Arabidopsis thaliana: one gene and its partner. The protein of the gene in region 1 interacts with the protein of each later gene in a pairwise test. Each region holds a gene or a part of one and is shown in the gene's direction. Other genes may lie near its edges.

The links.
Region 2: the proteins of AMT1;1 (region 1) and AT1G72180 interact in a protein complementation assay, tested with the Arabidopsis thaliana proteins (one study listed by BioGRID).

What each region holds. Positions count from the first base shown.
Region 1 is NC_003075.7:7,855,163-7,861,574, forward strand, and holds AMT1;1 (ammonium transporter 1;1), read left to right. Parts: upstream 1-3,020; 5' UTR 3,021-3,057; coding exon 3,058-4,563; 3' UTR 4,564-4,756; downstream 4,757-6,412. Other genes in the region: AT4G13500 (uncharacterized protein), read right to left, coding at 1,825-1,969, 2,416-2,485, 2,550-2,712. UniProt on the Arabidopsis thaliana protein: High affinity ammonium transporter probably involved in ammonium uptake from the soil, long-distance transport to the shoots and re-uptake of apoplastic ammonium that derives from photorespiration in shoots.
Region 2 is NC_003070.9:27,160,297-27,169,481, forward strand, and holds AT1G72180 (Leucine-rich receptor-like protein kinase family protein), read left to right. Parts: upstream 1-2,523; 5' UTR 2,524-2,879; intron 2,880-3,700; 5' UTR 3,701-3,777; coding exon 3,778-6,140; intron 6,141-6,243; coding exon 6,244-6,452; intron 6,453-6,546; coding exon 6,547-6,908; 3' UTR 6,909-7,134; downstream 7,135-9,185. Other genes in the region: AT1G72190 (D-isomer specific 2-hydroxyacid dehydrogenase family protein), read right to left, coding at 7,162-7,230, 7,323-7,535, 7,662-7,703, 7,837-7,934, 8,015-8,132, 8,228-8,299, 8,413-8,540, 8,645-8,789 and 1 more. UniProt on the Arabidopsis thaliana protein: Receptor kinase involved in the perception of C-terminally encoded plant signaling peptide (CEP) and subsequent regulation of root and shoot development.

The sequences.
Region 1 (6,412 bases):
TGGATTTTTTTTCGCTAGAATTTAATTACGAATATTTGTTTTGTAGAGTTAACAACCTAAGAATCGAGATATATCTCGACATCGATGATATAAAGAAAAAAAAAGGTATAGTATATATTTTTAAAAACATACACTTATTGTTTTTAGTGATGATACTGGTAAAACACTTTCATGCAATATTATTGAAATACCACTTCAAAGACTAATTTTCGGTATCGATAGAGTTTTAGTTCGTCGACGTCGAGAAATTTTATATCCTCTTCGATTTCTTTACAGTTTTTATCGATTTTTTTTGTATATACTTCTAATTTTCTTCTCTCTATATGACTTTTCTCTCAATTTCTTCTTTTTCATATCTACTTTTTAAGATATTTTAAAGAGTCGTGAAAGAGCATCCCTTCAATATGCTCATGCCATTGGTATTGAATTCACCAAAAGAGAAGCCTCTCATCAAATAAGTTCTTCAATCCCGAAACTTGAGCTTAGTCTCCAAATCCTTTGAGTTAAGATGTCTTATGACCCTCGTCATTTATAAATTAAACTCAATAAAATTGATGTCTACACTTTGATCGGATTGAACAAGAACATTGTCATGTTCACTTGCAATATTCACATAAGCCTTTATCGGATTCAGTTGTCCGCAAATATTTTGATATTTACTCGATGAAAGATCTGCTATAAGGGTGAATAAATTTGTAATTCAAGCCCCATCACAAATCGCGGTAGATCAACTGCATCTAGCTTGGAAATCAAGAGTACTATATGCTCGTTGACGCCTTCATCAAGACCAAAAGTAAACTGTACATTGTTGCCTCTATTCCCCAATCTTGGAATCTAAATATCTCTTGATCAATTTTTTATGCTTGGTTCTATCATATAGTTACTTTTTAACTTGATGAATTTCCAAACATGTTTTAGGAAAACTACTTTGTGAAAATTTTATATTATATAAATAGAAAAGATAATTTAACGGAAAAGAAACATTAACTTTATAGCATGTGGTATGTGGATATTATGCTCACTCTCAATTAGTCAATTAAGATATACCAACAACAACCTGGTTGAGATATCACAGAAATTATCAATTAATATCTTATAAATGAATTCGAAATATGCTAAATGCAAACATAGTTTTGTAAGTACGTAATTTATAATATATTAATACTCAAATCTAAGACTTACTTTTGAAAACAAAAGAATATCTTGTCAAATTGACACTTTTTAATGTTCAAAAGAGATAGTAAGAAATTTCGCCTAACCAAGAAAACAATAAAAACAAGGAATTTCAGTCTCAATACTATATATATTTTTCTGTTATTCACTTATATATTTGGATGTGATAGAATACTTTTTTAAGAACACACATATCTTATCTTCACCGATATATTAGCTGATACATTTTTTACATTCCTTTTTATTATTATTATTCTTATTTATTTTCTATTCACATGTACTTACAAACAAAAACTTAAAGACTTTGCAATTTGCGTTACGAATATTTTTCGTCAGGCTGTAATTTGAAAAGTCTTCTAGATGATTTCAAGTCTCTGCTTAATGTGCCAACTAGGCTCTATGTCACTACTTTGTGTTGTCTCTAATTCTCATTCTTCTTGACAAGACCAAACATATCACTAATGATGAAGAGATGACTAATATTTGTTTATACATTTGCTTGTAATGAAGACATGTAGTATAGCAAAGCACCATATAATATAGTGATAGCATTCTATTAATTTGTTCTTTTTTACAGCCGAAGAAGAAGAGTATAAGAAACATGTTTAAGATTCAGCCTTAAACAAGTGAAGAAAAAACAAAAAGAAAGGCTCAACGAATGGGAACTTTGATCCAACCATTGGCAAAAGCAATGGCTAAGATGACGAATGGAGTTGACATACCGAATATGATAATGTAAGGAAGAGGCGTCTTCATCGGATTCTCTCCTTCTCTTTCTCCAACGCTTTGCCAATACCTACAAAATTCCAATGCAATCCTCATCCATAACCATTTCTTCAATCACAATTGCATGTTTATGAAAAATGAACATGCAAGAATTTAAGTTCTTTTTCTATTTTAAAAGAGTTTAGTTCTTTTGACTAAACTACAACCCAAATATTTTTATTCTTTTGCTAACACGGATTTGAGTCTGGATATTGATACAATACTAACACAATGTCACAAACCACCAGTCTACATGTCATTGACACATACAAAAAAAAAAACTACTTAAATTCTGCAATGGAGACTAAAATTTTTGTATTAAATTGGTAACCTACATATCGTTTTGTAATTTTCCATGTTTTCATCAATTTCCTAGGTTTGTTTTTCTGTGATTTTGCAAAATTACATTACCATTCTATGAGTTTCTGTTATTTTCTACAATCTCATGATGAAAATTGAGAATTAAGATTAACTTACTGTTCAGGTTCTTCCTCTTTGGTTATAAACTTTTTCTTATCTTTAGGCTTCACTTCTCCATCTCCTCCACCTTATGCAATAACCAAAGATTAACAAAATTTACATCTACAAACAAATAAAAGATATAAGAGTACCTAATTTGGCATGAAGCTTGAATTCTGGGAATCCTAATGGTGATGGTGGACAAAAGAATTGAGGTAAAGCAAGCAATGATGAATATGAAGAAGATGATGAAGTTGAGGAATCACTAGCCCTGTGGCTAAACGAAGAAGAAGAAATTCGAAATTTCGCTGCCATTTCCAACAACTATATGGATGTGATAGAATATTTTTACATTTTATTTTTCTGTTATTCACTTATACATTTGGATGTGATAGAATATTTTTTTCTGAACACACAGATCTTATCTTCACCGATATATTAGCTGAAGCCTGATACATTTACATTCCTTATTTATTTTTTATTCACATGTATGTACTAATAAACAAAACTTAAAGACTTTGTATTATGCGTTACGAATATTTTTCGTCAGGATTGAAAAGTCAACCCTAGGCCTTTAGCTTCCTTCTTTTATATAAACAGAGAAACAAAACACTTTCTTTCTCAGCCTCTCTGTTTCATCTTCTTCTCTAAACTCTCAACATGTCTTGCTCGGCCACCGATCTCGCTGTCCTGTTGGGTCCTAATGCCACGGCGGCGGCCAACTACATCTGTGGCCAGTTAGGCGACGTCAACAACAAATTTATCGACACCGCTTTCGCTATAGACAACACTTACCTTCTCTTCTCCGCCTACCTTGTCTTCTCTATGCAGCTTGGCTTCGCTATGCTCTGTGCCGGTTCCGTGAGAGCCAAGAATACTATGAACATCATGCTTACCAACGTCCTTGACGCTGCAGCCGGTGGTCTCTTCTATTATCTGTTTGGCTACGCCTTTGCCTTTGGATCTCCGTCCAATGGTTTCATCGGTAAACACTACTTTGGTCTCAAAGACATCCCCACGGCCTCTGCTGACTACTCCAACTTTCTCTACCAATGGGCCTTTGCAATCGCTGCGGCTGGAATCACAAGTGGCTCGATCGCTGAACGGACACAGTTCGTGGCTTACCTAATCTATTCCTCTTTCTTAACCGGGTTTGTTTACCCGGTCGTCTCTCACTGGTTCTGGTCAGTTGATGGATGGGCCAGCCCGTTCCGTACCGATGGAGATTTGCTTTTCAGCACCGGAGCGATAGATTTCGCTGGGTCCGGTGTTGTTCATATGGTCGGAGGTATCGCTGGACTCTGGGGTGCGCTCATCGAAGGTCCACGACTTGGCCGGTTCGATAACGGAGGCCGTGCCATCGCTCTTCGTGGCCACTCGGCGTCACTTGTTGTCCTTGGAACATTCCTCCTCTGGTTTGGATGGTACGGATTTAACCCCGGTTCCTTCAACAAGATCCTAGTCACGTACGAGACAGGCACATACAACGGCCAGTGGAGCGCGGTCGGACGGACAGCTGTCACAACAACGTTAGCTGGCTGCACCGCGGCGCTGACAACCCTATTTGGGAAACGTCTACTCTCGGGACATTGGAACGTCACTGATGTATGCAACGGCCTCCTCGGAGGGTTTGCAGCCATAACTGGTGGCTGCTCTGTCGTTGAGCCATGGGCTGCGATCATCTGCGGGTTCGTGGCGGCCCTAGTCCTCCTCGGATGCAACAAGCTCGCTGAGAAGCTCAAATACGACGACCCTCTTGAGGCAGCACAACTACACGGTGGTTGCGGTGCGTGGGGACTAATATTCACGGCTCTCTTCGCTCAAGAAAAGTACTTGAACCAGATTTACGGCAACAAACCCGGAAGGCCACACGGTTTGTTTATGGGCGGTGGAGGAAAACTACTTGGAGCTCAGCTGATTCAGATCATTGTGATCACGGGTTGGGTAAGTGCGACCATGGGGACACTTTTCTTCATCCTCAAGAAAATGAAATTGTTGCGGATATCGTCCGAGGATGAGATGGCCGGTATGGATATGACCAGGCACGGTGGTTTTGCTTATATGTACTTTGATGATGATGAGTCTCACAAAGCCATTCAGCTTAGGAGAGTTGAGCCACGATCTCCTTCTCCTTCTGGTGCTAATACTACACCTACTCCGGTTTGATTTGGATTTTTACTTTTATTCTCTATTTTCTAGAGTATTATTTTAAATGATGTTTTGTGATACTTAAATATTGTTTTGGATATTTTTTTGCATTTCAGTAATGTTTTAGATGTACAGTTTCATGGGGTTGTGATGATAATATCTATGTGGTCATTTGTGTTCTCTTTGGAGTTTTTTCTATAACGCTTTTTTCAAATTTTATGATCATTATTTGCTGCATTCTAGATAAGCAATTAGGAATGTGAAGCATGGACTAAGTAAAAGCCTGACCGTTTTTAAGTTTGGACTTTTGATATAGCTCATACTTTTTTGATATTAGTTCATACTTATTGCTTTAAATAGCTAAAAAGTCTAAAACAAACCTTGCATTGACGCAATAGATATAAATAACTCGAAGTATTGCTTTCTAGAAGCATTAACAATTTGGTAAAACGAAGTTGAACCATTTACTCAAGCATAATAATCAGAAATGACAATCTTTCATGTCTGATGCAAATAAATAATAATTTATGGAAATAATTTCTATGTCTTACATCACTAATTAGACTTTTAGATGCTTGCAAGTTTGAAGTTTCAGCAGAAGTAGGTGCTTTTACAAACTCTTTTTTGTTTTAATTTGATAAAGTGTGTTTTTACAAACTCTGTTTTATTTTATTTTGAAAAAGTGTGTTTTTACAAACTTTCAACCAACCTATTCACGAATCTCTAATTTCATTTGTCCACCACATGAAATAATGTGTTTATTATATTAGTGTTATTTAAACTCAACGATTTTGGAGATTCGTACGTACCTTGTTGCCGCAACTAAAGATTCGGAGTATCACAGTTATTATATTAACAAATGGATTCACAAAGTAGATCGCGAATTACTTGAAAGTTGGAACTCGTGATAATGTTGTCGATACCACTAAATGGCAACTTCGTACATATGTAAAAAAAGTCAGGGTATTTGGGTGCTTTTCAAAAAGATGGAAGCATGACATGAGTGATGAGGCAGCTCCTACAAGTTGGAAAGAAGATATTTTGTCTTTACCTCCAAATTAAAAAATTGGCATTTTTAAATATCAAAAGGTGAAGAAGCCAATCAATTAGTATATTTATTTGTATTTTTTTTTTTTTTTCAATCTCTTTTACAAGTTTTAAGGAACTTAATGGCCAGCACTTTGATTTGATAGATACACACTAAATGAAAAAGTTGACCAGATGGCTCCGGTACTCGGAAACAAATTGCATGGAAATTTTACATAATTAGGTACACACATTTCAACATTTTGAAGAATATATTTGACTGTTTTGATTTTGCAGTTTCAATTGCTTTATGATTTCTACTCGGTTATTTATTGCTTTCCTAAATTTTATTCTGTGTATCTTACTTTATTATTTTTTAGAATTTAATATTTGTTGCTTCTATTCTCAATGAATATACTCAACAGATGAAATAATTAATAAATAATTCCAAACATTTGAACGTTAAATAATTAAATAGTCTTGACCATTTTAATATTTTTTCTAATTGTAACATTTTCTTTAGTATTACTAGGTTATGATTATCATTACACGTTTGGGTTAAATATGTTTTTGAACTTTTGGCGACAGGCGAGTCACTTGTTTTATAAACTTAACTTATACTAATCATTTAACAGGCTACATGTACTTTGCTATAGGTGAGTCATGTAACTGTTTAATTAGCTAGTGTGAATGTGTGATCGACGAAAAAAAAAAATTAGCTAGTGTGACCATATTACTTATACAACAACAAACTAAAAACTTGTCAAACTAAAAAAAGAAAGTAATATATCTGTTTGTAATTAGTCTAATCGTATTAAACTTTTCAGTTTTCACATAATAA
Region 2 (9,185 bases), on another chromosome or scaffold:
CTTGGCCCTCGATATAAATGCATTGGTTACCAAATTGTCGATATTATTGCTTCAATCATGATTCGGCTTCATTGGTATATCCGTATATATCCCTTGTCACGTAAGGCAAACACATAAAATATATGATAAAAACAAAAATTAATGGAGTTGAATTTAGTGTTACCTATAACGGGTATTAATTATACAAAAGTATGTAAATTAGTAAAATAGTGAATCGCCCATGAAGTTGCATAATCTTGTCTTGTAAACAAATGTATTGTAATGACGTGACGTTGTGTTAGTAGAGGTATGGAGACAGATATGCTCTTCTGATCAGTTTCTCGTCCGATCAATATTATTATCATTGTGGGACGGTCCTACTCGACAAATTATAGAGACACCCACGTTTACATTATTGTAAATATTTATATTTTTAGCTAACTTCGGGCCTACTGTCACTATTTGCTAGCTATATTTTCTTCAAAATGAAACCGTCATCTATATTCAATGTCCTGTTTCAAATAAGCTCAAAATATTTTGGTCAAAATTACCTTTACTTGATGGAATTTTGCAATGCTTGATACATTATGTTTATGCAATTTTATGGTGCATTATTATATGTATGTAAAGTATCTAATTTTTAAGTATACTCAACAACGAATAACTAAAACATAGATCATATCTAACACTAGTGTTTGTCTCTAGCGATAATAAAACTTTAAATTCTCTAATGTCTCTACCAATAGAATATTTTTGTGTGATATATATGTATATATAGAGCAAACAATGTGGAAAGCGACTGGGAAAATAAAGGAACCAAATGAGAAAGGGAAGGGATACAGCTGGGGAAGTCAACATCCAAATCAAAGATCTTTTGATTCTCACTCACATATCCCTTTATTAAACCGTATCTCTTCCCATTTAAACCGACACAAGAAAATTTATTAGGTATCACGGTTAATACTTTATTATTCAGTAGAAAGTATTAGTATTTAAACAACTAAAGAGAAGTTTTTTTTTTTTCTTGCAATAGCTAAAATTCCATTTTGTATACTCTTAAAAAAACTATGTTAGTATTATTGATTTTGGCCAAATGTATGGGGGGATTTTTTTTTTATAGTATTCTCATCTACTTTTTGTTTTTGTTATTGACTGTCTCTGATTTCTTTCTCGTGTATTGTCTCACTTTTTAAATCATTATCTTAGATTTTTCTTAATAAAATAAAGAAGCAACATACTATATACTATTCTAACATGTAGGATGATAACCTTGTAAGGGCCATAACTTTATGGAATTTCATTTGTAAGTTTGAATAATTACCAATCGAGTGAAGTGAGCATGAAAACAAAGTGATTCAGTGAAAGGGGTACATTTATAACCACATAATCATCATATACTAACCATTTCACTATCTATTACCGTTTCTAAATATTTTACTGTATTATGGTCCTTTAATTTGTGTTTTAACTTTTAGTGGCTAAACGATGCCATAGGACCCAAGGCCATCACACATTGATATCAATCAGAAAGAGAATAAGCAATTATAAGTTTTCATAATAAATATGTGATATAAAACTTGGAGATAAATCAGAATGGGATTCGGAGCATAAGGGGATAACATTAGAGAGATGGATGTAGAAAGAAAAGGACATTGAGTAGGTTAGACGATTCTTATCAAACTTCACTTAAAAGGGTAATCGACCCAACAACATTTTAGTTCTCTCTTTCTTTTTTGGTTCTTTAATTTTAATTTATTTTCCAGACTGTAAACGAATATTAACACTACAGAAGAAACCAAAAATGTTTTTTTTTTCGGCCTAACTATTTGGGATCAATACGATTCGTTGCTTATTTTTTTCTAGTAACCTTCATAGGTTTCTCCAAGCTTTCATTATTTATTGTAATTGATCTCCACTTTAAAAGTAAAATCCAATAAATCAGCATTTCCTAATTATATACTAGTAATATTTTTTCACTTTTATTTTTATCATCTTATATATAGGAACTATATGAATGTAAATGTTTTCACGTAACGTTTTGGACATATACAACTAGTAGTTGCTACTAATTCCAATAGGAACAATTATCGCTATGACAAAAACAAATATCAAATAAGATTATTTTCCAGACAATGACGTATCATTATAATAATAAATTTTAAAATGTTTTATTACAATGAATCTCCACTTATTATCAATCCATCTAGAAACATTAACCGAAAGATGAATGTTTTTCTACATCCATGAAACTAATTTTTTAGGTCAATGTCTGTTGTTGATCCTCTTTTATATATTAGAAAACTATATAAGCACCGTTGGATTTTCTTAACCTGAGAGCGACGCTAACTATAAAGAAAGATCATCATAACATATTATATGTCAAAATCAGTATAGTCAGATGATTTTTATTAACTTTAAAAGTTTTTACAACTTTCACGAACATGAATTGTATGGTGAGAGAAGCTAGCTAGAGAAATAGTTGATTTTTTGATAAATGATTTAACCTTTTTGGCTCCAAGTCTCGACGACAACTTTCTCTTGTCTCTTCTCACTTCTCTTTCCTCTCTCCTCTCTTCTCAAATCTCTCTCTCTTTCGTATTTCTTGGAGACATCTTTCTCTGGAACTGTTCTTCATCGAATTCTATCTTTTGAGAGAAACTAAATTAAGTTGATAATCGAAGAACTTCCTCGAAATTAGGACTTCTTCTGCTTTTTGTTGTTTCCTAGAGATTTTCCTAGAACGTGGTCCAAGAAAATCACACAAAAAGGTTCATTCCTTTTTTCTTACCAGAAACCACAAATCAAAATCATCTCCCCTGTCTTTGTTTGAAATCTCTCAAATTTAAGAAGGATCATCCATTCACTAACCTGAGATTTTGGATAGGTTTCATCTATTTCAGGTACGATAATTCTTCATTATATTTTGTTTAATCCCGTTGCTTTTCTTGGTTTTAAGTTTTGAATCTTTAAGCCTCACATATTTGTTTTCTTTACTCAATCTAAGGTTGTTTTATTTCCAAAGATTTAAAGGATAGATTCTGTGAAAAAGTTTCTATAAATTTCAAATTTTCAAATGTGTAGGTTACTAGCTCTACTAATAACATAATTACTTTATCCACTAACTACAATCTGCATGACTCATTTTTAACTTGATTGTTTATTTAATTACCTTTTTAATCATTAATCCTTGATAGATACTCAATTCTCAATGTTGTGTTGTTCTTTTTTCATTAAAATTCAATGCTTTTAAAGTTTATATTCACAGATTTAGAAGGAGAGAGAGAGAGTAAAGATAGATCATTTGCTTTACTTTCAAACAAAATAATTAAGAAACTGAAAATTTAGGAGAAGGATAATAAACTTTCTGCACTGTAATGAGTACCTTTAAAGCTCACTTTTGGAGTTTGTGTACTTAAGCAAGCTTAATATGTCCATCTACCATACATGATGTATAAATGTATCACAACTAATTTATGATTTATACAAAACTGTTCACAAATCACATGCACCCATTCTTCTTACAAAATCTTTGCTATGATTGATTTTTTATATATATAGTAATATACGTGCATAGAATATAATAATAATAAACAGTAAACACAATTGGAAAACCATAATACTATGAAAATCCCATACATTAAAATATCAAATTTATTTTGAGTGGATTATTAATTGTATAGTGGTTAGTTTGTTGATTTCATATCTTTATTTTTCTATGTAGGTGGGAATTCCAGTGCATCGACCATGATCAACACCTAAACTACAAATTGACCGTTTTGCCCTTGGGAATCACTATAAATGTCGAGAAGACCAGACCTCCTACGTGGCAGCGTGGTCGCCACCGTGGCTGCCACGTTTCTCCTCTTCATTTTCCCGCCGAATGTTGAATCGACCGTTGAGAAACAAGCTCTGTTTCGCTTCAAAAACCGCCTCGACGACTCTCACAACATTCTACAATCTTGGAAGCCTTCCGATTCACCATGCGTGTTTCGCGGCATCACATGCGACCCGTTATCCGGCGAAGTCATCGGTATTTCTCTAGGAAACGTAAATCTCTCCGGCACCATTTCTCCATCAATCTCAGCTCTCACAAAGCTCTCTACGCTATCGCTTCCATCTAACTTCATCTCCGGAAGAATCCCGCCAGAGATAGTCAACTGCAAAAACCTTAAAGTTCTCAATCTCACCTCCAACAGACTCTCCGGAACAATCCCAAACCTTTCTCCTCTAAAGTCCCTAGAAATTCTCGACATCTCCGGGAATTTTCTTAACGGAGAGTTTCAAAGCTGGATTGGGAATATGAATCAGTTGGTTTCTCTCGGTCTTGGCAACAATCACTACGAAGAAGGTATAATTCCTGAGAGTATTGGAGGTTTAAAGAAACTTACTTGGCTGTTCTTAGCTCGCTCCAACTTGACCGGGAAGATTCCAAACTCGATCTTTGATCTGAATGCTCTCGACACTTTCGACATCGCGAACAACGCAATCTCCGATGATTTCCCAATCTTAATCTCAAGATTGGTAAATCTCACCAAGATTGAGTTGTTCAACAACAGCTTAACAGGTAAAATCCCTCCGGAGATAAAGAACTTGACTCGTTTACGCGAATTCGACATCTCTTCGAATCAGTTGAGCGGGGTTTTACCTGAAGAACTCGGAGTTTTGAAGGAGCTCAGAGTTTTCCACTGTCATGAAAACAACTTCACCGGCGAATTTCCTTCTGGTTTCGGCGATCTAAGTCACCTCACTTCTCTTTCGATTTATAGAAACAACTTCTCCGGTGAATTTCCGGTTAACATCGGCCGGTTCTCGCCGCTCGACACGGTTGATATATCTGAAAACGAGTTTACTGGTCCATTTCCAAGATTCTTATGCCAAAACAAGAAACTACAATTCTTGCTCGCCTTGCAGAACGAGTTTTCCGGCGAGATTCCGAGATCTTACGGCGAGTGCAAATCTCTATTGAGACTAAGGATTAACAACAACCGTCTAAGTGGTCAAGTTGTTGAAGGATTCTGGTCTCTACCGCTTGCTAAGATGATTGATCTCAGCGATAACGAACTCACCGGAGAGGTTTCTCCTCAGATTGGACTTTCAACAGAACTGAGTCAGCTCATTTTACAGAACAACAGATTTTCCGGCAAGATTCCTCGTGAGCTCGGAAGATTGACTAATATAGAGAGGATTTATCTGAGCAACAACAATCTTTCCGGCGAAATTCCGATGGAAGTTGGAGATTTGAAAGAGTTATCATCTCTGCATCTTGAAAACAATTCATTAACAGGATTTATCCCTAAGGAATTGAAGAATTGTGTCAAACTTGTTGATCTGAATCTCGCTAAGAACTTCTTGACCGGAGAAATCCCTAACAGTTTATCTCAGATTGCTTCTTTAAACTCGTTGGATTTCTCAGGGAATAGGCTAACAGGTGAAATCCCGGCGAGTCTTGTGAAGTTGAAGCTGAGTTTCATTGACTTGTCTGGAAATCAACTTTCAGGAAGAATACCACCGGATCTTTTAGCGGTGGGAGGATCCACCGCGTTCTCACGTAACGAGAAGCTCTGTGTTGATAAAGAGAACGCTAAAACAAATCAGAACTTGGGGTTGAGTATTTGCAGTGGCTACCAAAACGTGAAGAGGAATAGTTCACTCGATGGAACACTCTTGTTCTTGGCTCTTGCAATTGTTGTGGTAGTACTAGTGAGTGGTTTGTTCGCGTTGCGTTACAGAGTTGTGAAGATACGTGAGCTTGATTCGGAAAACAGAGATATCAACAAGGCGGATGCGAAGTGGAAAATCGCGTCTTTTCATCAAATGGAGTTGGACGTTGATGAGATTTGTAGATTGGATGAAGATCATGTGATTGGATCTGGAAGTGCAGGAAAAGTGTACCGTGTTGATTTGAAAAAAGGTGGCGGGACAGTGGCGGTTAAGTGGTTGAAGAGAGGAGGAGGAGAAGAAGGTGATGGAACAGAGGTCTCTGTTGCGGAGATGGAGATTCTTGGAAAGATTAGACACAGAAACGTGTTGAAACTCTACGCTTGTTTGGTTGGAAGAGGTTCTAGATATTTGGTGTTTGAGTTCATGGAGAATGGGAACTTGTATCAAGCTCTTGGCAACAATATTAAAGGCGGTCTACCAGAACTGGATTGGCTCAAAAGGTACTCTCTAGTCAATAAGAACCAGTTTCAAAATGGTTAATCATGGATCCAAGATTATAAGAAAGAAAAGTGATTAATTTGTCCCTTTTTGTTGGATAAACAGATATAAAATTGCGGTGGGAGCGGCAAAAGGAATCGCATATTTGCATCATGATTGTTGTCCACCCATCATTCACAGAGATATAAAGTCAAGCAACATTTTACTTGACGGAGATTATGAGTCGAAAATCGCAGATTTTGGAGTTGCAAAAGTTGCAGACAAAGGATATGAATGGAGCTGCGTTGCTGGAACTCATGGCTATATGGCTCCTGGTGAGTTTCCAACTTAACTATAAACTTTGGTTCACAAGATGAAAACTGGGAACTGATTCTTTTTTGTTGTAATTGTGTGATATGATCACTGCAGAGCTGGCTTACTCCTTCAAGGCAACGGAAAAGAGTGATGTGTACAGCTTCGGTGTGGTTCTTCTAGAGCTAGTTACCGGTCTTCGGCCTATGGAAGACGAGTTTGGAGAGGGGAAAGACATTGTTGACTATGTCTACTCTCAGATTCAACAAGATCCGAGGAACCTTCAAAATGTTTTGGACAAGCAAGTTTTGTCCACTTATATAGAAGAAAGCATGATTAGAGTTCTGAAGATGGGTCTTCTCTGCACTACGAAGCTCCCGAATCTCAGACCGAGTATGAGAGAGGTCGTGAGAAAGCTTGACGACGCTGATCCCTGTGTCTCCAATTCTCAAGACACAACTGGAAAGATTACAGTATAGATTGATGATTCACCTACCACGTTTTAGTTATGGTTAAGACTAGTCACTGGTCAAAGAAGTATCAGTTTGTTCGAGACTTGAGTAAAAGTACGAGAGATTGGTTTTTGCTTATTTACTAATCCGTTGTACTAAAAAGTTTGCAGTGAAAGGTCGGAGTTATCAGAAAGAGACTTGGATTAATTTATATTAACTACTGTGGGTGTGTGTTACAGGATATTATTCTTGTGACGATAATACACGAAAATGTTACCTCTTAATTGACGAATTCGATTCCGGTGAGAGGAAGTCCTTCATGCAACTGAAGCGCGAGGTCTCCGACAATCTACATTTAACAACAGTAAGAGTTTAGAATCCATTTCCAACCAAATGCAGAAGACATATCAGAAAGAGTGAATCTTCCTTGGATGAGTTTACCTTGGCCATGGACCTATATGAATATTCGGTAACTCCAGCGACATGAGGGGTTATTATAACGTTTTTGAACTTCAAAATAGGATCATTTGGATCAAACGGCTCAGACCACGCCACATCAATCCCAAGGCCTCCTAGATGACCGGACTCCAGATTCTGGAAAGCTGATTCATAGTTAATAAGACCACCTCGGGCAATATTTACAAGAAGAGCACCCTGAAACAACCAAAGAGAAGTCAACAGTCACCAGTAATCACAAAATAATTCAACTCCGTTGACGACAAAAAAAAAAAAAAAAAATTCAACTCGGTTTTTCCAAATATGAATAGCCCCGGTAATCACCTTTTTCATTGAGCATATGAACTCCTTATTCACTATTTCAGCCTGAAAATGTCATCATGTAGAAGAAACAATAGCCATATTATCTAAATTGCAGATATATTTTTCACTGCCAAGAACAACTCTTCATATTCATTTGCTTGACAAGTTTATGATGAAGGAGAAGTGGAAATATTACCGTTTCTTTGTTGAGCCTCAAACAAACAACGACTATATCGGCTTTGCCAGCGAATGTGTAAATGTCTTCATGGCTACCTTTCTCATCAACTAGCCTGGCTGAAGATATAAGTTAACAAATTACTAGACCTCAGGATGGTTTGTCAAGGCAAACAGAGGAGTTAAAAGAGAACCCATACAGTCTGAGTCGACGATAGAAGCAGGCCAGAATCTTTTCGTGGCTATTACTCTCGACCCAAATGGCTTCAACCGTTTAGCCAGCTCTATTCCGATGTTTCCATATCCTAAGATAAATACCTGTATAATAGAAAGAAAGAAAAACAAACAAACTTTGTTTAGGGATATAAGCCAAAAGATATCTAATGCAGATTTAAGATCACTCTAAGACTCACAGTTTTACCAAGAAGCGTGTCACCGGTTGGTTCTCCAAGTAGTCTATTTCTCAGAGATATTTGCATTTCGTTCTGCAACATGTCGTACGAATTACCTTTAGCTAAGAAAGAAATATCAGAACTAGCACTTGAGACACTTAAGAGTTATACTAATGGAACCATACAGAGGCAAATCAAATAAACACCTGTTTCTTAAGAAGTCCCAGCATTAGATATATAGCCATCTCAGAGCAAGATGCAGCATTTCCAGTACCCTCACTAGGAATTCTAGCGACCTTAATCCCATGTTTAGTAGCAGCATCAATGTCAACACCTTCACAAGTAAATGACTTGAAATAGTTAAGTAAAATTGCAGCTTAAGATGAGTCCATTTATGCTCTATCGAGTATTAATGCATAAGAAAACTGAGACAGATACCGTCGAGACCAACACCGTACTGCATAATAAGCTTTATGTTGCTTGCACGAGATATAACATTTGAATCCATTTGCATAGTCATTGCCACACATATATGATAGTTCTTAATAACCTCAGGGACATCGCGGTAATGGACAACATCAACCTATATGAACCAAAACCATACAAAACAAACAATAACCATCTCAAAAATAAGAACTTTTTACTGATAGTGAAAACTAGTAACACCACCACATGATTTATACACAGTTTAAAACCAAAACTCAAACACTAGCATCTACACAACAATAAACTAGTCTAGGAGAGTCAAGTTTTCAACTTTACTCATTGGTAGAAGTAAAGTTATCAACTTTACTAAATTGGTAGAAGAAATCAAATAGCTTTTGTACCTTAATAAAAGGGTAAGGTTGCAAGTATTCTCTGGTGAAATTGTAGGAATCAGGGAAGTGAGGACCGCAGAATAGAACACGAGTTACATGCATGTCTTCTTTCTCAACTATTCTCTCAATCTTAACCACTTTACTTTGCCTAACCAACATCC